7 linked regions of the Callithrix jacchus genome follow. The protein of the gene in region 4 purifies or fractionates together with the protein of the main gene of each other region. This does not show direct contact. Links are inferred from orthologs where the notes say so. Each region holds a gene or a part of one and is shown on either strand. Other genes may lie near its edges. The genes, in order: SRC, MAPK1, IGF1R, ARRB2, TCOF1, NOLC1 and AKT1.

Evidence for each region.
Region 1: the proteins of ARRB2 (region 4) and SRC purify together in Homo sapiens (affinity purification with western blotting; 4 studies listed by BioGRID and IntAct, with this or other methods). This does not show direct contact. The link is inferred for Callithrix jacchus from reciprocal best matches to the Homo sapiens genes ARRB2 and SRC.
Region 2: the proteins of ARRB2 (region 4) and MAPK1 purify together in Homo sapiens (affinity purification with western blotting; 3 studies listed by BioGRID and IntAct, with this or other methods). This does not show direct contact. The link is inferred for Callithrix jacchus from reciprocal best matches to the Homo sapiens genes ARRB2 and MAPK1.
Region 3: the proteins of ARRB2 (region 4) and IGF1R purify together in Homo sapiens (affinity purification with western blotting; 4 studies listed by BioGRID). This does not show direct contact. The link is inferred for Callithrix jacchus from reciprocal best matches to the Homo sapiens genes ARRB2 and IGF1R.
Region 5: the proteins of ARRB2 (region 4) and TCOF1 purify together in Homo sapiens (affinity purification with western blotting; 4 studies listed by BioGRID and IntAct, with this or other methods). This does not show direct contact. The link is inferred for Callithrix jacchus from reciprocal best matches to the Homo sapiens genes ARRB2 and TCOF1.
Region 6: the proteins of ARRB2 (region 4) and NOLC1 purify together in Homo sapiens (affinity purification with mass spectrometry; 5 studies listed by BioGRID and IntAct, counting the BioPlex papers as one, with this or other methods). This does not show direct contact. The link is inferred for Callithrix jacchus from reciprocal best matches to the Homo sapiens genes ARRB2 and NOLC1.
Region 7: the proteins of ARRB2 (region 4) and AKT1 purify together in Homo sapiens (affinity purification with western blotting; 4 studies listed by BioGRID and IntAct, with this or other methods). This does not show direct contact. The link is inferred for Callithrix jacchus from reciprocal best matches to the Homo sapiens genes ARRB2 and AKT1.

Annotation. Positions count from the first base shown.
Region 1 is NC_133506.1:32,839,217-32,842,716, forward strand, and holds part of SRC (proto-oncogene tyrosine-protein kinase Src), read left to right. Parts: intron 1-804; coding exon 805-881; intron 882-1,666; coding exon 1,667-1,820; intron 1,821-1,974; coding exon 1,975-2,106; intron 2,107-2,394; coding exon 2,395-2,603; 3' UTR 2,604-3,500. UniProt on the Homo sapiens protein: Non-receptor protein tyrosine kinase which is activated following engagement of many different classes of cellular receptors including immune response receptors, integrins and other adhesion receptors, receptor protein tyrosine kinases, G protein-coupled receptors as well as cytokine receptors.
Region 2 is NC_133502.1:193,755,549-193,759,048, forward strand, and holds part of MAPK1 (mitogen-activated protein kinase 1), read right to left. Parts: intron 1,897-3,500; coding exon 1,782-1,896; intron 1,409-1,781; coding exon 1,277-1,408; intron 1-1,276. UniProt on the Homo sapiens protein: Serine/threonine kinase which acts as an essential component of the MAP kinase signal transduction pathway. MAPK1/ERK2 and MAPK3/ERK1 are the 2 MAPKs which play an important role in the MAPK/ERK cascade.
Region 3 is NC_133507.1:11,008,560-11,012,059, forward strand, and holds part of IGF1R (insulin-like growth factor 1 receptor), read left to right. Parts: intron 1-346; coding exon 347-630; intron 631-2,021; coding exon 2,022-2,158; intron 2,159-2,668; coding exon 2,669-2,828; intron 2,829-3,500. UniProt on the Homo sapiens protein: Receptor tyrosine kinase which mediates actions of insulin-like growth factor 1 (IGF1). Binds IGF1 with high affinity and IGF2 and insulin (INS) with a lower affinity. The activated IGF1R is involved in cell growth and survival control.
Region 4 is NC_133506.1:106,272,378-106,275,877, reverse strand, and holds part of ARRB2 (beta-arrestin-2), read right to left. Parts: intron 2,461-3,500; coding exon 2,430-2,460; intron 1,540-2,429; coding exon 1,479-1,539; intron 1,366-1,478; coding exon 1,321-1,365; intron 1,104-1,320; coding exon 907-1,103; intron 615-906; coding exon 555-614; intron 189-554; coding exon 121-188; intron 1-120. UniProt on the Homo sapiens protein: Functions in regulating agonist-mediated G-protein coupled receptor (GPCR) signaling by mediating both receptor desensitization and resensitization processes.
Region 5 is NC_133503.1:49,076,971-49,080,470, reverse strand, and holds part of TCOF1 (treacle protein), read right to left. Parts: intron 3,176-3,500; coding exon 3,120-3,175; intron 231-3,119; coding exon 91-230; intron 1-90.
Region 6 is NC_133513.1:95,104,652-95,108,898, reverse strand, and holds the start of NOLC1 (nucleolar and coiled-body phosphoprotein 1), read right to left. Parts: upstream 2,801-4,247; 5' UTR 2,779-2,800; coding exon 2,659-2,778; intron 1-2,658. UniProt on the Homo sapiens protein: Nucleolar protein that acts as a regulator of RNA polymerase I by connecting RNA polymerase I with enzymes responsible for ribosomal processing and modification.
Region 7 is NC_133509.1:139,635,017-139,639,044, reverse strand, and holds the end of AKT1 (RAC-alpha serine/threonine-protein kinase), read left to right. Parts: coding exon 1-191; intron 192-613; coding exon 614-701; intron 702-2,094; coding exon 2,095-2,197; intron 2,198-2,507; coding exon 2,508-2,587; 3' UTR 2,588-3,528; downstream 3,529-4,028. UniProt on the Homo sapiens protein: AKT1 is one of 3 closely related serine/threonine-protein kinases (AKT1, AKT2 and AKT3) called the AKT kinase, and which regulate many processes including metabolism, proliferation, cell survival, growth and angiogenesis.

The sequences.
Region 1 (3,500 bases), about 73 Mb from region 4:
AGTGGGTTTACTGTGTGCTCTCACCATAATGGGGATAGCAACAGCCCCATCACCCAGAAAGTTCCTTGGGCCCTTTGCAGACAGCACCCTCCAACCCCAAACCCAAGCACCCACTGATATACTTTGTCATTATCAATCTGTTTTGTTTATTCAAGAATTTCATACATGAAATATTTTACATCTGGGATGCATCCTTTTTTTTTTAACTTTTTAAATTTTAAATGTTTTAAATTTTTTTGATACAAGGACTCACTCTGTTGCCCAGGCTGGAGTGCAGTGGCGTGATCACAGCTCAGTGCAGCCTTGACCTCCCAGGCTCAATTGATCCTCCCATCTCAGCCTCTCAAGTGGCCGGGACTATAGGTGTACCCTACCACGCCCAGCTAATTTTTTTTTTTGTTTATATCTTTTGTACTGTGTAGCTCAGGCTGGTCTCAAACTCCTGGGCTTAAATGATCTTCCCGCCTTGGTCTCCCAAAGTGCTGGGATTGCAGGCAGGAGCCACCGTGCCCAGCCTGAGATGCGTCCCTGTGGCATCTCCCAGCAGTTAGTTCCCGTTGTCGCTGAGCAGGACGCCATTGTCCGCATTAACACAGTTTACCTGTTCACCTGGAGGTGCGCATCTGGTCGTTTCCCAACCTGCTTGCCTTTTGAGTGACAAGCACTTTATTGAGAGATGAGTTTACATAAAATCTGTTGTGCTGGTTATAGCAAGGCTAGCCACCTGGGAGGACAGGTTTGGGAATCACTGCATCCTGGCAGAGGGACAGGGCAGGAACTGGAGCTGGGTCTTTCTCTGCCCAGGGAGTTTGCTGGACTTTCTCAAGGGGGAAACGGGCAAGTACCTGCGGCTGCCTCAGCTGGTGGACATGGCTGCTCAGGTTAGTCAGCCCCTCCCTTCTCCCCACACCCTTGGTCCTCAAGCACCCAGACCCATCTGGTGCAGCCAGTTCTGGCCTCTTGAGTGCCCCCTCCAGGAAGCCTGCCTTGATTACCCCCACACTCACTGATCTTGCCACACGTATTTACCAGGTCCACTTACAGGCACCCTAAGCGGTGGTTCTGGGCAGCAGAAAGCCCTTACCTGGGCATCAGGGGTCACTGACTAATATCAGGGGTCACCTTTATAGAGATGACAACTGAGGCCCGAGGTCCCCTGTACATCAGTACAACTGATGTACTCAGTTGTCATCTCAATAGTCATTTAGTCACTCAGCAGACATGTGTTTGTGCTGACTTTAGGCAGTGCTTGACAAGCATTTTTCATCAGGAGTGACGAGGATTGGCTATTATTCCCATTGGATGGATGAGAAAACAGGCTCAGAGAGGAGACTTGGGCAGCAGGCAGGGCATGGCACTTGTCCACTTGTCTGTGTCTGGGTCCGCTGGGGCCTCTTTCCATGGTCACCTCACTTTCCTGGCTGCATCTGATCTCGGGCCTCCCCATTGCCCTTTGCTCTCTCCCCTCTGCCCCTGTGCTCCCTCCTCCTGCGGAGCACTGCTCCTGCTTTTGATGCCAACAGCATTTACCGTGAACTGACCTCACTTGCCTGAAGAAGCATGGGATGGTGGGGGAGGGGTGGATGGCTCTCCAGCCCTGGGTGCCCTGTGGTCCTGGGAGGGCATGGGTGGCACCTGAGCTGGGCTCCCATGGTTTTGCCTGCAGATCGCCTCTGGCATGGCATATGTTGAGCGGATGAACTACGTCCATCGGGACCTTCGTGCAGCCAACATCCTGGTGGGAGAGAACTTGGTGTGCAAAGTGGCCGACTTCGGGCTGGCTCGGCTCATCGAAGACAATGAGTACACAGCCCGGCAAGGTGGGCAGGGGCTTCGTGGCACGGGGCGTGCAGCCTGGGGCAGGTCACGTCCTCTCCCAAGCCTCAGTTTCCTTATCTGTCATTCCTCATGGTGCTCACCTGGTGGAGCAGTCACGACAGGTCAGAGCTGCCCTGACCTTTTTCGTTCCTGCAGGTGCCAAATTCCCCATCAAGTGGACGGCTCCGGAAGCTGCCCTCTATGGCCGGTTCACCATCAAGTCGGATGTGTGGTCCTTCGGGATCCTGCTGACGGAGCTCACCACAAAGGGGCGGGTGCCCTACCCTGGTAAGAAGGTCCTCCCGGCCCGTCTCTAGTCCCTGAGCCCTTGCCCTGGTGGCCTTGGGTAAGACCTGACTCCTGCTGGGCCTGTTTCCCCATCCATACAACAAAGAAGTTGAGCACCTGATCTTAGGCTCTCCTGATGGTCCATGCTCTCAGCTTCGGGGACGGGACCTACCCATGGTTGCACCCAACCTGGCCTAGGCAGGAAGCCCTCACCATCCTCCCCATCAGCTTCCCGCACCCCACTTTCCTTACTGGAGCCAGGCTTCCCATGCCTCACTCTGCCCACAGGGATGGTGAACCGAGAGGTGCTGGACCAGGTGGAGCGGGGCTACCGGATGCCCTGCCCGCCCGAGTGTCCTGAGTCCCTGCACGACCTCATGTGCCAGTGCTGGCGGAAAGAGCCTGAGGAGCGGCCCACTTTCGAGTACCTGCAGGCCTTTCTGGAGGACTACTTCACGTCCACTGAGCCCCAGTACCAGCCTGGAGAGAACCTCTAGGCACGGGCGGGCCCAGACTGGCTTCTCGGCTTGGATCCTGGGCTGGGTGGCCCCTGTCTTGGGGCTCGCCCTGCTCTGCCTGCCTGCTGTTGGTCCTCTCTCTGTGGGGCTGAATTGCCAGGCTCGAGGCCCCTCCCTCTTTGGCGGCATGGAAGGGGCTTCCGGACCTAGGGTGGCCTGAGAGGGCGGCAGGCGTGTGAGACCAGCACAGTGACTGTCCAGCGCCCACTCTAGCCACACGCCCCTCCTTGCACTCCCTCCTGGAGCTCTGTGGGTCTCTGGAGGAGGAACCGGGAGAAGGGCTGGGGCCGGGCCTGAGGATGGCCTTTTCCAGCCTCAGCCTACTCCACTCACTGAACTCCTTGCCCACTTCCGTGCCACCCCCAATCTGTCTCGAGAGCTGGCCAAAGAGCCTTTCCAAAGAGGAGCGATGGGCCCCTGGCCCCGCCTGCTCACCATCCTGCCCCTTGCCATCCATTCTGGAAACACCTGTAGGCAGAGGCAGCCGAGATGGATCCTCTGCCGCTGCTCCCAGGCTGGGCAGTAGGATGAGTACCCCTCAAACCCTGCCTCCTTAGACCTGAGGCACCTTTGGAGATCATCACTTCCTTGCCCCCATTTCACTGATGGGGAGACAGTCGAGAGAGGGGATGTGACGTGTCCAAGGCCACAGAGCAGTTCAGAGTGGAGGCGGCTTGGAACCGGTGCTCCCTCTGTCTTCCTCAGGAACCAACAGTTCGTGGGAGGCATCACGAAAAGACTGGGACAACCCAGGGGACAAGGGATCTGAGGATGCGTTCGAGATGGCAGAATCGCACTGCCGCTGCCTGCTCGGCCGGGCTGTTGGGGAACAGCATGGAGGCAGATGTGGGTCTGAGCTGGGAGTCAGGGTGAAAG
Region 2 (3,500 bases), on a different chromosome or scaffold from region 4:
TAGCTGCCTAATATATTTAACAGGTATGCATTAATAAGGAATAAAGGATAATACAATTATTTAACAAAGCTAACCTGAAAAAAAAGGATAAAAATGGAATGTAACTATTTTCTTTTACAGTTGCTCTAAAATATCTCCACCTAACCTAAGGTCATGAAGATTCTCTTGTTTTCTTCTTGAAGGTTAATAATTTTAGGTCTTATATTTAGGTTTATGGTCCATTTTTAGTTTTGCAAATTTTGCATATGGTTGTCTAATTGTTCCAGCACCATTTCTTGAATAGACTGACACAAGCAATGAAATGAATTTTTCTAAATCTCAAATGCAGTATGCTGAACGTGAGAATCTAGACATAAAAAGGTTACATACTCTATGATTCCATTAATACGACATGCCGGAAAAGGCAAAACTATAGGGATAGGTATCAGATCAGTGATTGCCAGAGATGGGTTAGAGAGGGACAACCGACTACAAATGGCACAAGGCAACTTCTGAGGATGATGGGAATATTCTGTATCTCAATTGTGGTGGTAGTTACATGACAGTTTATGTTTACTAAAACTCAATAGGCCCACACAACTAAAAAGTATGAATTTTATTCTGTGTAAATTATTCTTCAATAAACCTGACTTTAAAAACTATCAAGTGACAAGATAAAAAGGTGTAATTTGTTTGCAGGGTCCTAGACTTCCCTAAAAGTGTGACCTTAGGCTGGGCATGGTGGCTCACACCTGTAATCCTGGTACTTTGACAGGCTGAGGAGGGCAGATCATGAGGTCAGGAGTTCAAGACCAGCCTGGCCAGCATGATGAAAACCGTCTCTACTAAAAATACAAAAAAATGAGCCGGGCATGGTGGTGGGTGCCCGTAAGCCCGGCTACATGGGAGGCTGAAACAGGAGAACTGCTTGAATCTAGGAGGTGGAGATTGTAGTTAGCTGATATCGGGCCACTCTACTCCAGCCTAGGTGACAGAGCAAGACTCCATCTCAAAAAAAAAAAAAAAAAAAAAAAAAAGTGACTTTAGTGCAAGTTAAAATTAACAAAGAAACCAAAAGGTGGAGAACTAGACGGTCATTACCAGGCTCCCTTACTGCACTGCCACTGTTTCCAAAAAAAAAAAAAAAAAAAGGGAGAGACAGTAATTCAGAGTGAGCACTAAAGAAAGCATTATCCAATAGCTACAGGCTCACTTTTCAGGCTAGTGACCTAACAACTGAACAAATAAATGCGAAGCTAAGCCTTAGAAAAAAACTAATCAACGACATAACATTTACCTTTCGAGTCAGCATTTGGAAACAGCCTGTTCCATGGCACTTTATTTTTGTGTGGAAGAGAAAGCAAATAGTTTCTAGCTTTTAAATTTATTATACAATTCAGGTCTTCTTGTGATGGGGATCCAAGAATACCTATCAGATAAAATAATTAGCTGTTAGTTATCAAGACAAAGGCAAATGACTACACACCATTAACTGTGGGTCAGAATGAACCCTGGTAATTAATGTCTTATCACCACTCCCAAAGCTTACCTTTCTCTTACGTTTTTACACAGAAGTCCTTAAGACTTTTTTTTTTTTTTTTTTTTTAAGGTCAGTGTCCAGGAAAGACATTGGTTGGGAGGTTATTTGCTTAACATTTTTAATAAGGGAAGGCTAAAAATTCACACCTACCACAGGCTAAAGAGTTATTAGAACTCTTCTTAATTTAATGAAGTGACTTTGATGTAAGCTGTAGGCAGGCAAAGTGAGTAAATCTAGCTACTGAAGGGCTCGGGAACCTTACCCAGAATGTGGTTCAGCTGGTCAAGATAATGCTTCCCTGGAAAGATGGGCCTGTTAGAAAGCATTTCTGCCAGAATGCAGCCTACAGACCAAATATCAATGGACTTGGTGTAGCCCTGTAGGAGAAAGAGAAAAGACTGAGAATGATATCTGGTCATACAGGATGAGATCTTCCTGTGTGACAGGTGCATTGCTGATGGGAGTTTGAACTTCTCCGTTGACTCTAAAACTCAGACAGACAAGTAAGCAGCATGGAAAAACAAATAATAATTTGGCTTTCTTATGAGAGGCTGAACAGTTTAAGATTATGTGATTTTATTTTTCTCTTCAAAGTTGATTAACATGGGCCAGGCGTGGTGGCTCATATCTAATCCCTGCACTTTGGGAACCCAAGGCGGACAGATCACTTGAGGCTAGGAGTTTGAGAACAGCCTGGCCAACATGGTAGAACCTCGTTTCTACTAAAACTACAAAAAAATTAGCCAGGCATGGTGGTGGGTGCCTGTAATCCCAGCTACATGGGAGGCTGAAGCAGGAGAATCACTTGAACCTGGGAGGCAAGAGACTGCAGTGAGCCAAGAGCATGCCACTGCATTCCAGCCTGGGTGACAGAGCAAGACTCATCTCAAAAAAACAACAGTTGATTAACTTGTTAGATTAGAATTTCCAAATTATACATCAGTCCTTTTTTGAAACAATTTGAGAGACAGATTCAGAATTGTCATAAATTGGAGCTGGAAAAAAAATTTAAAAAGTCTAAAAACCTGGATTTCTGGGTTGGGGGGAAGTATGTGCTAGCTCCATCATATTTTACCAATCTCTTATTAAAAATATTCTCACCCCAAAACCTAAAATGCAATAAAAAAGAAAAAAAAAATATTCTCAGCCGGGCACAGTGGCTCACGCCTGTAATCCCAGCACTTTGGGAGGCCAAGGTGGGTGGATCACCTGATGTCAGGAGTTCGAGACCAGCCTGGTCAACATGGTGAAACCCTATCTCTACTAAAACTGCAAAAGTTAGCTGGGCACCTGTAGTTCTAGTTAGGAGGCTGAGGCAGGAGAATCGCCTGCATTGAGCCAAGGAGGCAGAGGCTGCATTGAGCCAAGAACTGCACCACTGCACTCCAGCCTGGGAGGCAGAGCAAGACTCCATCTCAAAAAAAAAAAAAAAAAGAAAAAAAAAAGAGTTCACTGATATGATTTCAGATTCCACAATGCAATTAACCTTTAAGAAACTACCACTTGTTCAAATTGGGGGTAGTATCAAAGAACAGCCATAAGTAGCTGAAAAAACTACTAAAATTTCCCTCCTTTTATCAGCTACATACCTGTGTGAAGTTTTCCTTATTAACTTAAACCAAAACAACATATTTGACAGACTGAATGCCAAACCAGATGAGAATCCAACTGTAAGCCAGACATTAAACAGACTTGCAAAAATAAAAACAATGCCACTCTTCTCACTAAAAGTTTTTTATTTTATTTTATTTAAAGACAGGGTCTCACCCTATCACCCAGGCTGGACTGCAATGGTGTGATCATGGTACATTGCAGCCTCTATCTCCTGGGCTTGAGAAATCCTCCCATCTCAGCCTCTTAAGTGACTGGGACCATAGGTGCATGCAACCACGCCCAGATGATTTAAATTTTTTTCCTTTTTTTTTTTCAGATGCATTCTCGCTGTGTCACCCAGGCTGAAGTGCAATGCCTCGATCTCAGC
Region 3 (3,500 bases), on a different chromosome or scaffold from region 4:
AACCATAAGATCTGTGACCAGATGGCCTGAGTGTTCTGATGACACAGCCAGGATTGCCCAGCCAAGCGTGGTGGTGACACTGTTTGCCTCTAGGTAGAATTGAAGATCCACTCTGAGAGCCAGAGGTTGGGGGCGAGAGTTTGTGTGTCCATTCTGTCACTTGCAGAGTAGAGAAAGCAAGATAATGAGGAAGGACATCCCCGTGTTATTCACAAATTCGTATCCAAGGGGGCCGAAGAGCTTCCTTTATTCCACGGTTAAGATGCTGCAGTTACCCTTACTCAAGTTGCAGAAAAGACGAAAGAGGTAAAAGCACCTAAAAGCCACATTTCTCTCTTCCTTGCAGACCTGACAGGAAGCGGAGAGATGTCATCCAGGTAGCCAACAGCAGCACGTCCAGCCGAAGCAGGAACACCACGGCCGTTGACACCTACAACATCACAGACCTGGACGAGCTCGAGACGGAGTACCCCTTCTTTGAGAGCAGAGTGGATAACAGGGAGAGAACTGTCATTTCTAACCTTCGGCCTTTCACACTGTACCGCATCGATATCCACAGCTGCAACCACGAGGCTGAGAGGCTGGGCTGCAGCGCCTCCAACTTTGTCTTTGCAAGGACTATGCCTGCAGGTATGGTATGACCCAGCTGGCCCCATTGCCACGTCCCTCACAACCCAGTGAAAATGGTTTTTATGGTCACAGGGTCTGACACCCAGGGCCAAGACCCTTAGTGTCAGGCCTGGCTGCTAAATGGTGTGTGATCATTGGCAGGTGGCATGGTAGACCACCTGCCCAGGGAACAGAGCCCTCGCTCTCCTAGTGACACCACTCCCAGCTAGTTTCTCCATAGAACATGCTGGGAGCAGGGAGCTCTCTGCAGGGCCCACCCTCCGCCTGCTACTTGGTTCACAGCATGCACTCCCACTGCCCTTTGCCCCTCTTGTACACAAATAAATTGAGCTGCCCCCTCCTGAGCTCTCACATATTCAGAGATGTCCCCAGTTAGTGGCCTTGGTCCAGAGTAACCACTGCCCCTCAAGGTTAACTCCTGGAGTAGGCTCCAGTCTTGCTTACTTAGTCTTTGGCTTTCCCTTGTCCGTAGACATTGCCTGTCGCTCGGGCATTGAAGGTGGTTGCCTTCAAAGACAGAACAAGCACTGCCTTGTTCTTGTTTCTTTAGGAGGCCTCAGGCAGTAGAAAGAGCATGGAGGTGATGGGTATCTGGGGCATGGGTTCCTCCTGGCACAGTTCTGGCACTGAAGTGCATGGCAGCATGCCTTGAGGCAATTGTCAGGCTTCCTGCCTCAGTTTCCTTAGCCCTCCTAGGAGAGACATAGCCAGCTGACCCCTCCAGTACCTTTTCCAGCTGTAACTTTCCGTGACCTTTGCTTATCACCTCATTGTTTATTGGTTCAAGAAGCAAAATCAAGAGAGGAACCACTGCAAGGTCAACCAGCAGCTAGAGGAATTGATGCCGGCAGGGAGGCTTGCCCTGCTCTTGGCAGCAGCCTCCCAGCAGCTTCCTCCCAGGCCAGGCTTGAGCCATCCTTTGTGCCTGCGTAAAAACTGCAGTTTCCATGTGTGGCCGCGGGCCACCGAGGGTCCCTGTCATAGCCGGCAGGGCCCCGTGCCCTGCTTCTGCTTATTCAGCATCTCTTCAGGGCTGCTTGGGTTTGGTAGCTTCACAAAGCTTTCTTTTTTTCAAGTGGTAGGCACAGAATAGAAGAAAGTTACTTAGGTTGTCAAGATTTTCCTGCTCTGCTTGGCAACAGGTTTTTTTTGTTGAGGGACTGGGGAGAAAGGAGAATCCTGTGGCATCTTGAGACGTGCAAGTCATGGGGTTGGTGTGATTCTGAACCCTCCTCTATGCTGTGTGTGTGCAGCCTGCTCAGGGGCAGGGTACGTGACTGCTCTCCATAGTCCTGCCCGCGTGGATGGGGGGTTATTCTCAGGTCAGCCCAGTGTTGGCCCCCCTCCCTGGGAACCCAAATCCAACTCTGTCACTTGTTTAAATTGTACAGACGGAGCAGATGATATTCCTGGGCCAGTGACCTGGGAGCCAAGGCCTGAAAACTCCATCTTTTTAAAGTGGCCGGAACCTGAGAATCCCAATGGATTGATCCTAATGTATGAAATAAAGTACGGAGCACAAGTTGAGGTAGGACTGGGGCGGTGGCCTGTGCCTGCGTGCATTTCCATCCGTTGACAGCATACGCTACCTTACTGCACAGGTTACTTCCTGGTTAGCGTAGGATTTAATAAAATATGCACCAAGTTGCTGAGGATTCAGGTCTTTCTACCCACTCCATATACTCCATAAGGAGTACTCCACAGTGTGCAAAGAACTAGGCTGCTCTTTGCCCTCAAGAAACGATTTCATTGTATAAGATAACCTTGTGGCATAGGCCAGATCAGCTCTTAATAACTTTTAATCCTTCTGGAGTTCTTGGTTACAAAAACGTTTGGTTAAAGCTTTTGGGTGTGCTTAAAGCTCCTTGAAGATGACCTTTTAAGACTTGATTTCTTCCTCTTTGCTGACTGTCGGGATCATTGTTAGGTGGGACGTCAGATCAGGCAGCTGGAGTCCCCAGTGCAGTGAGTTCAGTTGGCAGGCCCCAGATTTCTCCTGCGTTTATGGAAAATTGACATGTATGTTTTATTTCCCCAGGATCAGCGGGAATGTGTGTCCAGACAGGACTACAGGAAGTACGGAGGGGCCAAGCTAAACCGGCTAAACCCGGGGAACTACACAGCCCGGATTCAGGCCACGTCTCTCTCTGGGAATGGGTCGTGGACAGAGCCTGTGTTCTTCTATGTCCAGGCCAAAAGTAAGGCTTGTGGAGGGAGAAGAAACGTGGGAAAACTGAAAGCGAGCTGGTCCGGGATGAGGACAGCCCGAGTGTCTGTGGCTCTCGCACTTTCTGTTACAGTCGAGTTGCCGGCTTTCAGAAGGGTCATGCTTAGGTGCCGACAAACACAGGCACCATGTGTGACAGCTTGGGCAGGGCACATGCTGAGCTTTGGGTCCCTACCTCATGTGGCAGGCAGGGAGAGGATCTGAGCCTCTCTTCTGAAATGGCACAGTCACTGGAGAGCCAGAGGAGACCGTTGGTTTCAACCTGGCTTATATGCAAAGACCTTTGTTTTATTAAACGAAAGACATTTTACAAAACTTTGAATTGACCATTCCACCTCCTGCTTGGTCAGTAAAGCTAGATAGGGCTCAGATTCAGGGCTTGAAATCCTATGGGGTTAAAGGAACTTCAGAGGCCATCTGGTTCAGCCTGCTGCAGGGCAGGAATATCCATGAGAGAATCCCAGACCCTGCATTGCTCTTTTACAGCCCCCATATGCATTGGAGATACATGATGCTCACCTTTGGTGCAGACTGAGGAATGGGAGTTTATGCTCAAGTCATTAATAAGACAGAATTCTTAGGCTGTTCCATTTCCTAGAAACAGAGCCTCGTTTTGGGGTCTGTGATCTATGTAACAGCAACC
Region 4 (3,500 bases):
GGCAGGAGGGGGTCAGTCCTCACACACCCAAACCCCTACTCCTCCCTCCCACGGGGCCTGGGCTCCTGGAAACGGGGAGGAAACCCCCCTCTATGCCACAGAGGAGGTTGTTTCCCTCACCTTTTGTGGCTTTTCTCTTCTAGTGATTTAGCACAGAAGGCTCGAATCTCAAAGTCTACGCCGCAGGCCTCGGGAGGGGGAGAAAAGGCCACATCTCACCCAGGGCTCCCACCAGCATCGCTCCCCTTCCTTCCTCTCCCTTCCCTCCACTTGGGCAGGGACTCTTCTGTCATTGTGGTCTGACGACCTGGGGGACTAAATCATGGTCGTGCAAGGGGAGCCCCATCCCCAGATCCACGCAGGTCCAGAGAGCAGGCGGCAGTGTCACGCATGCACAGTCACCACATCATACACACCCCACTTCCATGGGGGACACTGGCTGACCTTGGCCCCACCCTGGCATCCTGACAGTTTACCCTCTGGCTCAGCGGTGCCTCCAGGCTCCTATTGGCCCCATCCTGCCCTAGGAGCCCTCAGAGCCATTCCTCCCATACCTTCCCCGTATCCTCTGGTCCTGGCTGCAGTGTGACGGAGCATGGCAGATTCTGGGGTATCTGTGGCAGAGGAAAGGGAAGACTTCAGTTCTTCCAGAAAGTCCCCAGATCTTCCTCCAAATCTCAGGAGGCTGGAGAAAGGACTCCTGGGGAGGAGAAAGGAAGAAGGAAGGGGCCCTAGAGACGAGGCAGAGAATCTAGGGCTTCCTGAATGCACTGGGACCCTGAAGGGGGGTGGATCCAGGGTTCCTGCCTCACTGTTTCTTCCAGATCTGCCCATAATGGGTACCTTACCCCCACCCCAGACACAGTCCCAGACCCCTTGCCCTCAGAGGACAGAGGGCGTCCTCACTGTGAAGAAGAAGGGGTGGGCATGCTGGCCCAGCTTCCTCAGCAGCCGGTCCTGCAGGCGGGTGGGGGGCCGGGGCGGGTTGGGCACTGGGGGGAAGGCCTGGTAGGTGGCGATGAACAGGTCTTTGCGGAAGGACAAGCCCAGGACATCCAAGTCTTCGCGGCCATAGCGGAAGGCGCAAGTGAGGGTCACAAACACTGGCAAGGGAAGTCAAGATGAGTGGTCAGGACCTCCCTTCCCCAGTCCCCTGGTACCTAGCAGCCAAGGCCCCTCCCTCTGCAGCATGAGACTTGCTCAAATCCTACTTCTGGCTTCTACCTCCAGCCTCCCTCTCTCTGGGCACCCTTCCAGTGCCAGCCCATTTCACTTCCCTACCCTCTACTTCCCCTGGGTCCCTGGACTTGGAGCCAGTACCTTTGCGGTCCTTCAGGTAGTCAGGGTCCACAAGCACCACGCCATCTAGGAGGGGGACACACCAGCTCACTTCCTGAAAGGGCAGCTCCCCCATGTCCTGGGCCTGGGAACTTCTTCCCCTCTTGGGGAATGAGTTGCCCCTTTCTGGGGAAACTTACCTACAGGGTCCACTTTGTCCAGGTGATCTACGAAGTCCCGCTTGCCCAAGTACACGGTCAGCTGAGGATGTCAAGGGGTCACAGGAAGATTGGGGAGGATGGTGCCAGGGCATCAGAGCCCTCAATACTGACTGCCTTGCCCCAGGATCCCCAAGCTGGGCTATAGGGAGTTTCTCCAGGTTTTTTCCCAGTAGTGTTAAAAAGGAGGGTGGCGGCATTTCTCAGGCTAGCAGACCTTTAGGCTTTTTAACTGCTCCCTAATCTCTGCACACCACTGCCCACCAGCCAGGTGGGCAGGTGTGTGTGTGTGTCCTTAGCCCAACCAGCCAGATGTATGTGTGTATTTGCATCCTCAGGGAGGACTCTGCCAGCTAGGGGTGTGTGTGTGTGTGTGTTGCATGCATGTGTGGTCTGTGAGTGTGTGTCATGAGTGTGTGTCTTTGGATCCTCAGGGAGGACTCAGCCCAACCAGCCAGGTACGTGTGTGTGTGTGTGTGTGTGTGTGTGTGTGTGTGTGTGTTTGGATCCTCAGGGAGAACTCAGCCCAACCAGCCAGCTAGAGAGCAGCTGCCACCCTCACTATGTCCCCTCAAGGGGCTCTAGGATAAGCAGGCCACAGCCTGGGTGGGGGCTGTTAACTCTTCCCAGGGTGGCGCACCTTGGGTTGGCCCCTAGGAGGGCTGTAGGCACATGGCTTGCTTCTGGCCTCCTCCTCTGTGGTCTTGCTTGGGGACCCGGGTCTGCCCCACCCAGCCCTGTGGCTGGCTCAGGTTGAGCAGCCTCTGTGGCAAGGGGCTTCAGGAGGGAAGGAAGTCAGCTCTTAGCTGTCACAGGAAGTGGGGAGCTAGGGGTTGAGGATCATCTTGGGGCAGGCTGGCAATCCTTTAGGGGAAGGCTGGACTCTGTTGGGGCCCAGGGAGGGTGAAAGGGATAAGTGCCATGGAGACTCACCTTGCAGTTAGGACTTGACTTCTTGAAGACCCTAACAAAACAGAAAGGGAAACCCCACTGCTTCCCTCAGACTCAGCAGGCACCCCACACCAGGACCCTGTCCCTCCCAGGCCTGGGAAGCAGAGCTCACCCAGGACTCCTGCCTGAGGCTGCAGGGCTTTGCCCAGCTCTGCCCCTTTCCACTTCTTCCTGTAAAGTCCTTCCTATTTCTAACATGACAGCAAGGAAAAATGCCCCTTCTCTTGTCCACCCTCCTTAGTCCCCTTCCCTCCCTAGTAATGGCCACTGATTGCCCTAGGAACCACCCAGGCTCTTCCCCAGGCACCCGAATGGGCAGGTTGCCGCAGCATCTGGGTAAGACCTAACCATCTTTCCATCGGGTCTACAGCTCCAACAGCTGGAGCATATAAGAGAGCAATGACCCTGGACTTTGACCCTCAAATGGTTTCTACCATAGGCCCTAGCCCAGTTCGACTCTATCCATTCACCTCCAACTGTCCCCATCTCCGACCTTAGCAGCTTAAAAGCCTCTTTGTCTTTTAAGGTCCAGCCTTTAGGAAGCTGACCCAGCCCAGACCCTGGTCACTCCTTGTTTTGGGTTCCTGGCTCAGTTTGTTTATGTTTTACTTGTGGTGTGGCAGGACACAAGGGCAGTTAGCTGCCTCCCTCCTCAGACTGTGAGCCTTAGAGGCCTTATTCATTTAGGCATCTGCAGCACACTGCCAGCCACATGATGATGATGATGATGATAATGCTGGCTAACATTACAGGGTGGGTACTCCATGCCCAGCACTGTTCCAAGTGTTTCAAACGTGTTATCTCTTTTAATAATCTTTTCTTTTGAGACAGAGTCTCACTCTGTCGCCCAGGCTGGAGTGCAGCGATGCAATCTCTGCTCACTGCAACCTCCACCCCCTTGGGGTTCAAGAGATTCTCCTACTTCAGCCTCCCATGTAGTTGGGATTACAGGAGTGAGCCACCACGCCTGGCTATATTTTGTGTTTTGAGACTGAGTCTCACTCTATTGCCCAGGCTGGAATGCAGTGGCGTACTCCTGGCTCACTGCAACCT
Region 5 (3,500 bases), on a different chromosome or scaffold from region 4:
TTCTAGTGATAAGAGAAGAAGCTGGAGGTAGACTCTACCCTAGAACAATCAATATTCCATAGCCTGTTCCCAAAGCTGCAAGGCTCTTACTGGCTTTGGTGGTTTCAGCTTCTGCCTCCTCTTCCTCTTCCGAGCTCTCTGAGGTGCTAATGGGGTCCGACACTCGGGTCTTCTTAGCTTGTAGAGCCGCATCTTCCTCTGCCTTCCGCTTCCGGCCAAGCTCTGAGGTTCTGCAGGACAAGGGTGACTGTCTATACCAACTGGGCGACAGAACAACTCCACAAGGTTTGACTACACAGACCTTCCCGCATCCTTCTGGCTCTTAATGGCAATGTGCATGGAATGTAAACAGTGGTGAAAACACCGTATAGACACAATTCTGTATTCCGCATTTTCCCTCAATTCATAAAGTGCTTTCACAATTCTTGATTAGTCTTGAAAATAATCAGGAATGCCAGATAATGTTATACAACAGTTGCAGCAGCTATCAGTCTCTGTAATAGGAACTGACCCATGCAGGCACCTCACAGAACCACCCAGGTGCTTCCTCCTGCAGAACGTGCTGTGTGTGCTGTGCCTTCTGGGAAGACTGCCCACATCCTTGTCCTTCATGTCTCAACTTTAATGCAGCCTCCCCAGAGAGGTCCTCGATGATTGCCCGCCGCCCCCAAGGCATGCTCTGCCCTGTCGTCCTGTTTCGTTTTCTTCAGAGCTTTTCTCTACCTCCTATTATTTTACTTACTTCCTAGACTCTTCCCCTACACAGAAAGGCCCAAGGAGCGGGGCTGCTGGCAGCTCACTACAACATCCTCAGTGTCTAACAAATGTCTCAAAAACTAAACAACTGAGTGACTTGCTCAGGGAAAACAAAGTCTGGGGCATGGGTAGGATAAGCACCTAGAGAGCTGAGCCCCTGGACTTGCAAGTAACATCCCCATTGACCCCCATCCCAGGGAATCACTGTCTAGGCCCCAGGTTTCCCAGCTGTGATGGACACTGCTCTGTCATAGCTTGGGATATGCTACTTGGGTTCCTTGTTCCCAGGAAAGCCACTTGTCAGGATTCACCTGTTAAAAACAGGTTTCATTTTAACATGTTATCAATTTATTCTGCTTCTTTTCCCCCAATAAAAATGTTGAGCATGGAATTTTACTCTGGTTTGTTCCCAGCTACATCAATAATATTGCCTAGGTTGTAGTAGGTGCTCAATAAATACTGAGGCAGGGGGGAAAGCCTCCAATCAGTAGTTTTTAGTACTTTATATAGACCACTGTGTCTAACCCTAACAATGCAATGAGATCATTGCTATCATTATTTCCATTTTACAGATGAAGACACAGACTCACAGAGGCCAAGAAACCCACTCAAGGCAATACAGCTAGTTGCTGGATTTGAACTCTGCCAGGAGTTGCTAGGCTAGGCTGACTGTGGTGGGTGTAAGGTCCTTGTCCCACTCAGCACCCCTCACCCAGCGAAGGGGCCGGTGGCGGGGAAGGGTGTAAAGAACAGCTCACTAAAGCAGTTTTTTGGGGAAGGGAAGTACTACAAGTAACACTCACACATCTGGGCAAGTCAGAGAGGCCCTGTGCTCTAAGCCCTCCTCAGCAGTAGAGGACAGCCAAGAACTGAGGGCTGGCAGGGTTTTCAACCATCTTAGCTCTCTACTAGAGGCTGCAATCCCTTCCACACCATTCCTTTGTTTACAAACCTCTAATGACAGGGAGCTCACCACCTCCACTGTAGCCCACTTCATTTTTAGACAGCTCTGATGAGCAAGTCCGTATATTCAGAAGCTGAAACCTGTCTTCCTAAAGCAGGTCCATTTGGGGCCCACTTCTGTCTCCAGGGCTTCAGAGAATGCACTATTCTTGGTCCTCAAAGATGTGCAGTGGTGCCTCACATCCCTCACCTGCCTCCTTGTCATCTAAGGCAATTCTATACTCTGCACCATTCCTCAGGGGATATATCTTCACGTCCTTCACTCCCTTATTCAGCTGTGGTCAGGCCAGTGCCTGATGAGAACACAATTACTCTCTCCATTTTCAAGCCATTCCTCTGTTGATGTATCCTTGGATGAGTCCCCCTTCCTTGAAGAGTACTTAAGTTTTACATGTTTAAAAGGCATCTCACACTCAACATGTCATTGAAATCTTTCCCTGCAAACTGGTTTCCCTTCAAGCTCTATGCATGGATACATAAGCCAGACATGGAGTCAATCAGATACTTCCTCTCCCATCCATCCATGGGCCCTGGTTTCATCCCTGTGACTCCTAGAATCCACTGTCTACCCTGTTACCCCCGTCTCAAGCCCCATCAGCTCTTGCCTGGATGACGGTGTCCACCGACTAGTCTCAACATGGTGCAGAGCAGTCAGCTCACTTTCTCACCCTGCCATGGCCCCAGCTGCTCTTGGGTAAAGACAAAATTCCTCACCATGGATAACCAGGCCTCGCATGGCTATCCACGCGATAATCTAGCCTCACCTGTACTGTCCACCAGCCACAGGACTGAGCATTAGCAATTTCCGCTGGCAGGTACCTACTGCATAGTACCTATTGCTGCTCTATACCTACTGCATAGCTCACTCTCCCAATTCCTGCAGCTCTCAAGTCAAAGATCATCTCAGGGAAGCTTCCCCTGGACCTCCAAATGAAGTGTCTGGAAGCTTACCCATTTATGTGGCTGTGGCAACAGGTTCTTCTCTCTTGTAATCCTTACTACTACCGTAATTTTACATTCATTTGTTTCATTCTTTGACTCATGCCTCCTTGACTACAATGTCAGCTGCAGGAAAGAAGGAACCATGTCTGTCTCACTTGTGACAATACATGCATACTAAGTAAGAACAGGACTTGGCTTTTAGGAGGTAATCAATAAATGCTGATCAACTGAATAAACAAGCTGGTTAGAAGCTCTTGTTCTTAAGAGATCACAGCTCTCAATGTCCCCTCCCACTACCAGATATCCCCATTCATGTGCTGTGACCGGCTTTCTGGAGGCAACAATGGTGTCCACAGTGAGCTATAGGGACAGATCTTAGATCAGACAGGTATCCCAGCTTATTCCACACTGATTTGCTTGGGGTGTCCCTACTCCACCCTGTCAGCCCCACCACTTACTGTTGCCAGTGTGTATAGATGTCCAGAAGGGTTACGGGCTGAGCCAGGAAACACTTCTGCAGAGAGGTAAAGAGAAAGCCACAATTAACCCCCAGCACAGTAAGGGTCCTCCTTGGGCCCAGCTCTCCCCAAACTCATGACTTGCACAGATAGGTGGTTTAGAAGAGAGTCTTTTCGGCTGGGCATGGTGGCTTACACCTGTAATCCTAGCACTTTGGGAGGCTGAGGCAGGAAGATCGCTTGAGCCCAGGAGTTCAAGACCAGTCTGGGCAACATAACGAGACTGTCTCATGTTAAAAAAAAATTAGCTGGGAATGGTGGCATGCACTGGTGGTCCCAGCTACTCAGAAGGCTGAGGTGGGAGGATCACTTGAGCCCAGG
Region 6 (4,247 bases), on a different chromosome or scaffold from region 4:
GTTCAAGACCAGCCTGGCCAACATGATGAAACCCCGTCTCTACTAAAAATACAAAAAATTAGCTGGGCGTGGTGGCATGCGCCTGTCATTCCAGCTACTAGGGAGGCTAAGGCAGGATAATCGCTGAACCCAGGAGGCAGAGGTTGCAGTGGGTGGAGATCGCACCACAGCACTCCAGCCTGGGTGACAGAGCAAGATTCCATCTCAGAAAAAAAAAAAACTGCATCCAGGCCAGGCGCAGTAGTTCACACCTATAATCCTAACACTTTGGCAGACGGATCACTTAAGGACAGGAGTGCCTGGGCGAGACAGGAAGACCCCCAACTCTCTCTCTCTCTTTTTTTTTTTTTCAGATGGAGTTTGACTCTTGTCACCCAGGATAGAGTGCAATGAGGCTCAATGCAACCTCCACCTCCCAGGTTCAAGTGATTCTCCTGCCACAGCCTCCCGTGTAGCTGGGATAACAGGTGCCTGCCACTACGCCTGGCTAATTTTTTGTATTTTCAATAGGGACAGCATTTCACCATGTTGGCCAGGCTGGTCTCAAACTCCTGACCTCAGGTGATCCACCCACCTCAGCCTCCCACAGTGCTGGGATTACAGGTGTGAGTTACTGCACCCAGCTGAGACCCCCCATCTCTTAAAAAATATATATATTTTAAAATTTTAATTAGTTGGGTGTGGTAGCACACACCTGTAGTCCCAGCTACTTGGGGGGCTTAGATGGGAGGACTGCTTGAGCTGAGGAGTTTGAGGCTGCACTGAGCTGTGATCACATCACTGCACTCCAGCCTGGGCAACAGAGAGAGACCCTGTCTCAAGAACAATGACAGCAAAAAAAAAAAAAGAATTTCATTCAATTATTAATTACACTGATACAGAACATTAACTGATGCAAAAAACTCCAAGACATTCCAGCTACTCAGGAGGCTGAGGCACAGAATCGCTTGAACCTGGGAGACGAAGGTTGCAGTGAGCCAAGATTGCGCCACTGCACTCCCATTTGGGCAACAGAGTGAGACTCTGTGGTACAAAAGAGTTCAGGATCAGTCAGTATACATGTGAACTTATCTTAGGACAAATTACCTAATCTCCCTGAGATTATTTTCTTCTCTATAAAATGGAGATAATACTACACATCTCATTTAAGTTATTGAGAGGATAAGAGAAGGCATGCTGGCCGGGTATGGTGGTTCATGCCTGTAATCCCAGCAGTTGGGAGGCTGAGGCAGGTGGATTTCTTGAAGTCAGGAGTTCAAGACCAGCCTGGCCAACATGGCAAAACCCCGTCTCTACTAAAAATACAAAAAAGATTAGCCACACATGGTGGCAAGCACCTGTAGTTCCAGCTACTTGGGAAGCTGAGGCAGGAGAATGTCTTGCACCCAGGAGGCAGAGGCTGCAGTGAGCAACCTGAGTGACAGAGCCAGACTCCGTCTCAAAAAGAAAAAATGCATGTAAAGGGCTAAGTATCTGAACCTTTGTAAACTCTTCACAAAAGATTAGTTTTTCTCACATAAAACCATTCAGAATCCTAATTCTTAAATGTCCAATTCCATCCAGTCCACTGTGAAAGCACTCTTTGCAGTCACTTAACAGTCAACTCTAAACAGTTCCAATACGAAAGCAGTTACATCACATGACAGCCTGTCCCAGCTTAAGAAAGTTCTTTCTGAGGCTGATCTGATTCTTTGCTTTTGCAGCCTGATCTGCTAAAAGTGCAAGCCATCCTTCTTAGTCCTGCTATCATCCTTGCAAAGGACCCCCTCTCTTTTCTCTCAAGGTGTCTTCCATGCAGGGATATCCGTTGATGGAGATTAAATATCTTTCACATTCCTGGTTGGCGCATCCTAAATTGCCGTAACTATGGTACAACTTTCACTTTTAGAAGATTCCTCGGCACAAGCACTGAGATTGCTACTCTTACACATAATCTTACTGAAACTCACCAAAATCTTATGAAGTGGATGATGACATCCCTGTAGAAAGACTCAGAAAGGTTAAGTAAGCTGCCCGGGTCACATATCTAAAAAGTAACAGAGCCTGGTCCCAAACTTAGGTTGGATTCTATTAGCCAAAGCTCCAAGCCCACTACCATGCCTGCTTGGTAGGGCTGTATATGACGCTCAATTCTCATCAGTGTAACTCAAAACAAAACTCTGCTCCTACTTTCATTCATTTTCTTCTTTACTAACGAAAATCCCAATCTTTATTCTAAAGCAATTTCACTTGCTTTTGAATCCCAGTAAATGCGATTGAGGGTAAGGTCAAATCGCGCTTTACCTCAGCCAACGAAAAGCCCCCCAGAAGAACCAGACGCCTAAGAACCAACGTCCTCAGTGGGACAAGGCGCTAGCTCCCAGCTGCACTATGCTAGCCATGTGACTTCGGGCCACGAGGCTCCCACGTTGCCGCTGTTGTATGGCTCACAAGAAACAAGCAACAAGACTCTGCGCTATCTAGTAAGACCTGGTGGAAGACGAGCGACCGAGGCCCCCAGGCTTTCTCTGGTCACTGCTGAGCGGTCGGCGCAAAGGCCTTGCAGACACTGGACTGGCGGACCCCACAGTCTTCCCCACCTGGAAACCCAAGCACGTCAGGGCCTAAAGCCTTGTGGTCATGACCCAGCCCGCTTCCCGTCCCAAGCCCGGGACTCACAGCTCCCGTCGCTTTGGCGAACTTATTGGCCACCTCCGAGAGTTGGTTATCGCGCAGGAAGCCGAGGACGAGGGGATACAGGTCGCTGGGAACCACGCGGCGCAAGCCGGCGTCCGCCATGCTCCGGGCAAAACGCGTCACTACCGTTGTCGACGCAGCACGACTCAGGAACCCAACAGGGGCAGTGGGAGGGCCTGATTACGTCATTGCGCCGCGCGGTCGCATAGCGGAAAGGGTGGGGCTCCACAGGGCAGTCCCACCTCCGCTTCAGAGGTAGGGTAGACGGGAAATCTAAAAGCTCTTTCCGGTCCCACGCGTATCGCCATCTTGGTCAAGGGCGGAGCCCACCAGCCGCCGGTTTGTAGAGGCGGGGCTCTGACGTCAGAGGTCACGCCCTCGGCGTGGCGGGAAAACTTGGGACTTCCCGCGCTGTCTTTCTGGGGGAGGTACCTTTTCTCAGAGCAGCGGTTTCCCGCGCCCCTGCCAGGATTCGGATTCCAGAGTAATGAGTGGACAAGCGGGCTCTAACAGTCCTTACCCTCTCCAGACTTGGTCACAAGATCTCCCAACCGCCCCAACTGGCGCATTAGCGCTGCCGATGGATTCTCGCCCTTCATCTTCACTGCCTCCAACACTCAGGGAGGCCCTTTCCTCTCTGATACCATCCCAGCCTCCAGACTCGTCTCTACGCAGAAGAGCATCCTTCAAGTTATCCGTCGTGGGGGTGGAAGGTACTGATTTCCCAAGCCGCCCCTCCCACTCCCTTTATATTCCGCCTGTCAGCTCCACGAAGGGGAAAGATGTCATACACCAAACCTGAATCACACACCTCTTCAAGCTGAAGAGACTTGAAAATAACCCTTCTTCCTCCGATATCAGAGTTCAAACTCTCCCTTTGTCATGAGTAACTCCAATATCAGTGCTCAGACCTACCAAGTGAATTCCAAGTTCTGCAATACTTCAGATCATATTAGCAGTTAGCAATCCTTTCAATCCTACCCACTACCCCTTGGCTACCTCCCACTAATGCAGTTCAGGAAGGATAAGGATCCACTTCCTCATGGAACACTCCCCTCTCCTATATAAAACTGGCCAGGCACAGTGGTTCACACGTTATTCCAACACTTTGGAAGGCCGAGGTGGGAGAATCCCTTAAGCCTAGGAGTTAGAGGCCAGCGTGGACAACGTAGTTAAGACACACACACACACACACACACACACCACCCTGTATCTCTACAAAAAAATTTTAAATTAGCCAGGTGTAGTGGCATGCACCTGTGGTCTCAGCAAGTTGGAAGGCTGGGGCAGGAGCATCTACTGAACCAGGGAGATGGAAGCTGCAATGAGTTATGATCCTGCCACTGCAATCCAGCCGGGACCGCAGAGTGAGATACTCTCAAAAATCAAAACGCTGGGCACAGTGGTTCACACCTGTAATCTCAGCACTTCGGGAGGCCAAGGTGGGTGGATCAACTATGGTCATGAGTTTGAGTACAGTCCTGGCCAAGAGTGAAACCTTGCACCTACTAAAAATACAAAAAAAAATTAGCCAGGTATGGTGGCAGGTGCCTGTAATCCCAGCTACTTGG
Region 7 (4,028 bases), on a different chromosome or scaffold from region 4:
CGCGCGGTGGACTGGTGGGGGCTGGGCGTGGTCATGTACGAGATGATGTGTGGCCGCCTGCCCTTCTACAACCAGGACCACGAGAAGCTCTTTGAGCTCATCCTCATGGAGGAGATCCGCTTCCCACGCACGCTCGGCCCTGAGGCCAAGTCTTTGCTGTCAGGGCTGCTGAAGAAGGACCCCAAGCAGAGGTGAGGGCCACCCACCCCAGCTGCAGGCTCTGCCTCCACCCCTCACCCCCAGTCTGCAGCTGCCCCTGCGCGAGGGGGTCCTGGCACCTTCCAGACCACGCTGATGGCCATAGCTTGATGTCCTTGGCCAGGGTTGATCTGCCAAAGCCCCAGGCCCAGGCAGAGTGGCTAGACAGGCCAGGGCATTTGAGCCTCTGTCCCCAACCCTGCAGCCCCCACACCCACTTGGGACACCCCTGCCCTGCTGTGAGACCTGGGGTGCTTCGCTACCCACAGCTGCTCAGATGCTGCACCACTGGCTCCCCTCCCCAGCCCCAGAATGCCCTGTCCAATGGGCCGTGTGTTACAGCAGGAGGAAGGGGCCTGAGCCTGAGGCCTGGGGGTGGCAGTACCAACACTGTGGCCTTGTTTCCTGCCCACAGGCTGGGTGGGGGCTCCGAGGACGCCAAGGAGATCATGCAGCACCGCTTCTTTGCCGGCATTGCGTGGCAGCACGTGTACGAGAAGAAGGTGCGGCCAGTCCCCGCGTATCCACACGCACATGGCACGCTCGTGGCATTCCCACACACTCATGCCCTCACCTTGGGAGCCTGTGCAGCCCCCCTGCACCAACCCCAGCGCCTGGTGCGCAGAGGGTCTGGCACTGCTGAGTTCGTCAGGAAACTGACCTGGTCCTTCTCACTTCCTCCTGCCCCTGGAGGTGTGTCACACCAAGTACCAGCCTTAGGGGTCGCTTCCCTGAGGCTGCGCAGGGAAGGCTGGCTGGTGGTAGACCAGGAGTGCTGCCCCTTGCTCTCCACCAGTTCCTCCTGTTGTCTGACCTCAGCCCCTTCTGCTGCAAGGAGAGCCCAGCCCTACTCTCTGGCTGTGCAGGGGCAGTTCTGGCACTGTCCAGAACTGTAGACTGGGGGAGTCCACCCTGGAAGGAGGGAGCTCTTTCTGACTGAGTTGCCATCTTGGAGGCTCATCTTTCAGGGACCCCAGGAGCCCTGGCCCTCATCTTGGCTGATGGGTCTGCAGCTGGGTTCAGAAGCCCACACTCTGGGTGCTGGGTGCCATCACCAGGTGTGCTTCTGACCACTTCCCAGCCTGCCCCTCCCTGAATGCCTGTCCTAGGCCACGTGCAGCTGGCTGGGCTGGGCAGCGCTGGGACCCAGCTGGGTACCTGTCCTCCCATCAACACGGTGCCCCGGCCTTGGTCCCAGTTCCTGCCCTGAGGCCTGCCATCCTCCAGCCCTGCCCTGCCCTCCAAGGGAATGGTGGGGCCTGGGCAGTGCTCAGCCTCTGCCCATCCTTGCCCAGAGACTTTGCTAATTGACAGTGGACAGTGCTGGTGCCCAGGCCAGACTCTGAGATGGGGCAGTGCTTGAGGGGGTCCTTGACTGTGGGACCCGAGGGGCTCTGTGGCAGCTCCTTCTTCACTCTTGATCCTGGGTCATCAGGAGTCCTCTCTGCAGCCAGATGCCAGCAGGCTGCCATCCTGTGGTCCCTGAGCCAGGAAGGAGGCAGGGCGGGCCCACCCTCTGCACCTTGTTCCACAGTCTCTCTCCTTCCCAATTTACAAGAAGACCAATAAGAAAAACGAGAAAGAAAAAGGAAATAAAGTCATCACCTACTGGTGGCAGAGAGGCCCTCTGAGAGCTGGGCTGCACTACCTCCTGTCGCCTGTGGGGGCTGCTGTGAGGGCAGCTTGTGACTCCGCTGACCAGGGTGTCTTCGTGCTCCCACTCCTCATGCCCCTCCCTTCCAGAGCTGCCTCTGTGGGGGGCGGGGGCCGGTGGCTTGTCGCTTCTGACATCCAGGCTGCCTGGAGACCCCCTGGTGATCCGGCTGCTGTGAGGGGCTGGGGATGCTGGGAGTGGGTAGCAAAGCTCATGACGGTCCCATCTGCCCACCTCTGCAGCTCAGCCCGCCCTTCAAGCCCCAGGTCACATCGGAGACTGACACCAGGTATTTTGATGAGGAGTTCACAGCCCAGATGATCACCATCACACCACCTGACCAAGGTGAGGGCCACTGTGCCTGCCCCGCCCGCTCCCTTTTCTCTCCACTCAGAGGCCTGCAGTGTTCTGCTTTTTTGGCTTCAGATCTTTTAATACCTAAATTTTTAAAAGATTCCTTTGGAGAGTGCCAGTGTTCAGGGTGGAAGGCAATGCTCCAAGGGCCCAGGTCCCCGGGTCGAGCTTTGGGGCCTCAGTTTCCTGGTGGCATGGCAGCCTGTTGGCTGTGCTTTGAGAGGCTGGCTCCCTACTGGAGCTGTGGGCAGGTGGAGGTTCGGGGAGGTGGGGCCCGAGTCTGAGCTGTCTACACCCACAGACGACAGCATGGAGTGTGTGGACAGCGAGCGCAGGCCCCACTTCCCCCAGTTCTCCTACTCAGCCAGCGGCACGGCCTGAGGCAGCGCGGATGGCACTGGACCAGTTTGGAGGGATGGAGAGGCAGCCTCGTGCCGTGATCTGTGTTGAATGGGTTTTATTTCTTGGTGCATTTGAGAGAAGCCTGCCGTCCTCCCGAGCGCAGATGGAAAGATGTTCTGTGCTGTGGGCGGCACCCTCCCTCGCAGCGGGGTAGGGAAGAAAATTGTCCTGCGGGTTTTAATTTATTTCATCTGATTTGTTCTCTGGATGTGGCCTCAGCCCTCAGAACAATCCAGTTTTGCAGCTATGCGCAATGTGGGGTGGGGGGCCGGGCAGGTCCTTCCGCTGGGTCCCCTCACTCCATCAGCCAGCCGCACGGGCTGTCACCAGCTGTCTATCATCTCTCTGTGGCCCTGGGCCTCACTTCAGCCTGGCGGCACCAGACGCAACCTCACTGTGGCATGCCCGGCACCCTCCTGGGGGAGGCAGGCACACGGCAGCCCCCAGCACCAGGGCTGTGTCTCTGAGGACGTCGGAGGCTGGGCCCCCTGGGAGGGGACCAAGGATGGGAGATGGGCCAGGGTTTGCCCAGTCGGACAGAGGGGCAAGGTTTCAATTTGTTATTCTGTATCATGTTCAAATGCATTTTGGGGGTTTTTAATCTTGGTGACAGAAAAGACCTCCCCCTTCCCCCTTCTGTGTCAGAGTTCTTGGTGACTGTCCCACCAGGAGCCTCCCCTCAGATGACCTCTCCTTGATAGCACTTGACCTTTTCGACGCCGAACCTTTCCGCTGCCGCCCCAGGCCCGCCCTGACTCCCTCTGGGGGGTGACCGTCCCTGGGCCCTCCACACCCCTCCCAGCCAGACGCTGCCGCTGCTGCTGCACCATGGCATTTTTTTACGACATTCAACTTTAGTATTTTTACTATGATAATATGAAACTTGCCCTCCAAATTCTTCAATAAAAGTTGCTTTTCAAGTTTTTGGCTCACTTTGCTGGGTAGAGGAGTGCGTGGCCAGGGAGGGAGTGGGGAGCCCTAGGAGGGAACCAGCATCCTCAGAGCAGCTGGTCTTGCTCCTCTCCTCCTGTGGGCACCACCACCCCAGCAGGTCTGGGGACAGGCTTCGTGGTGGGCTCAGGGAGTCTGCGGGCCTGTGGCGAGATGGGAGGCCCTGGCTGGCCCTGCCCCCTTGGAACCCACCTCTTCTTCCCTTGACCCCACCCAGCTTCACCCCAGCCAGGAAGGAGACCACTGGACTATGGGCATCTGCCCCCCAGCCTCAGCTGTGGTTCCCCTGGGTGGGGCAGTGAATGAGACCCTGACCACCAGGAAGGCTCGGAGCTAGGGCCAAGATCATGGCCTGGGCCACAGTGGAAGAAGGGCCAGGAGGCCTGAGTGGCTTGTTCGAAGTTGGACAGAGCGGGAGGAGGGGCTGCGGGGGGGGAGGGAGGAGGGGCTAGGCTGGGTCCCAGGTTGC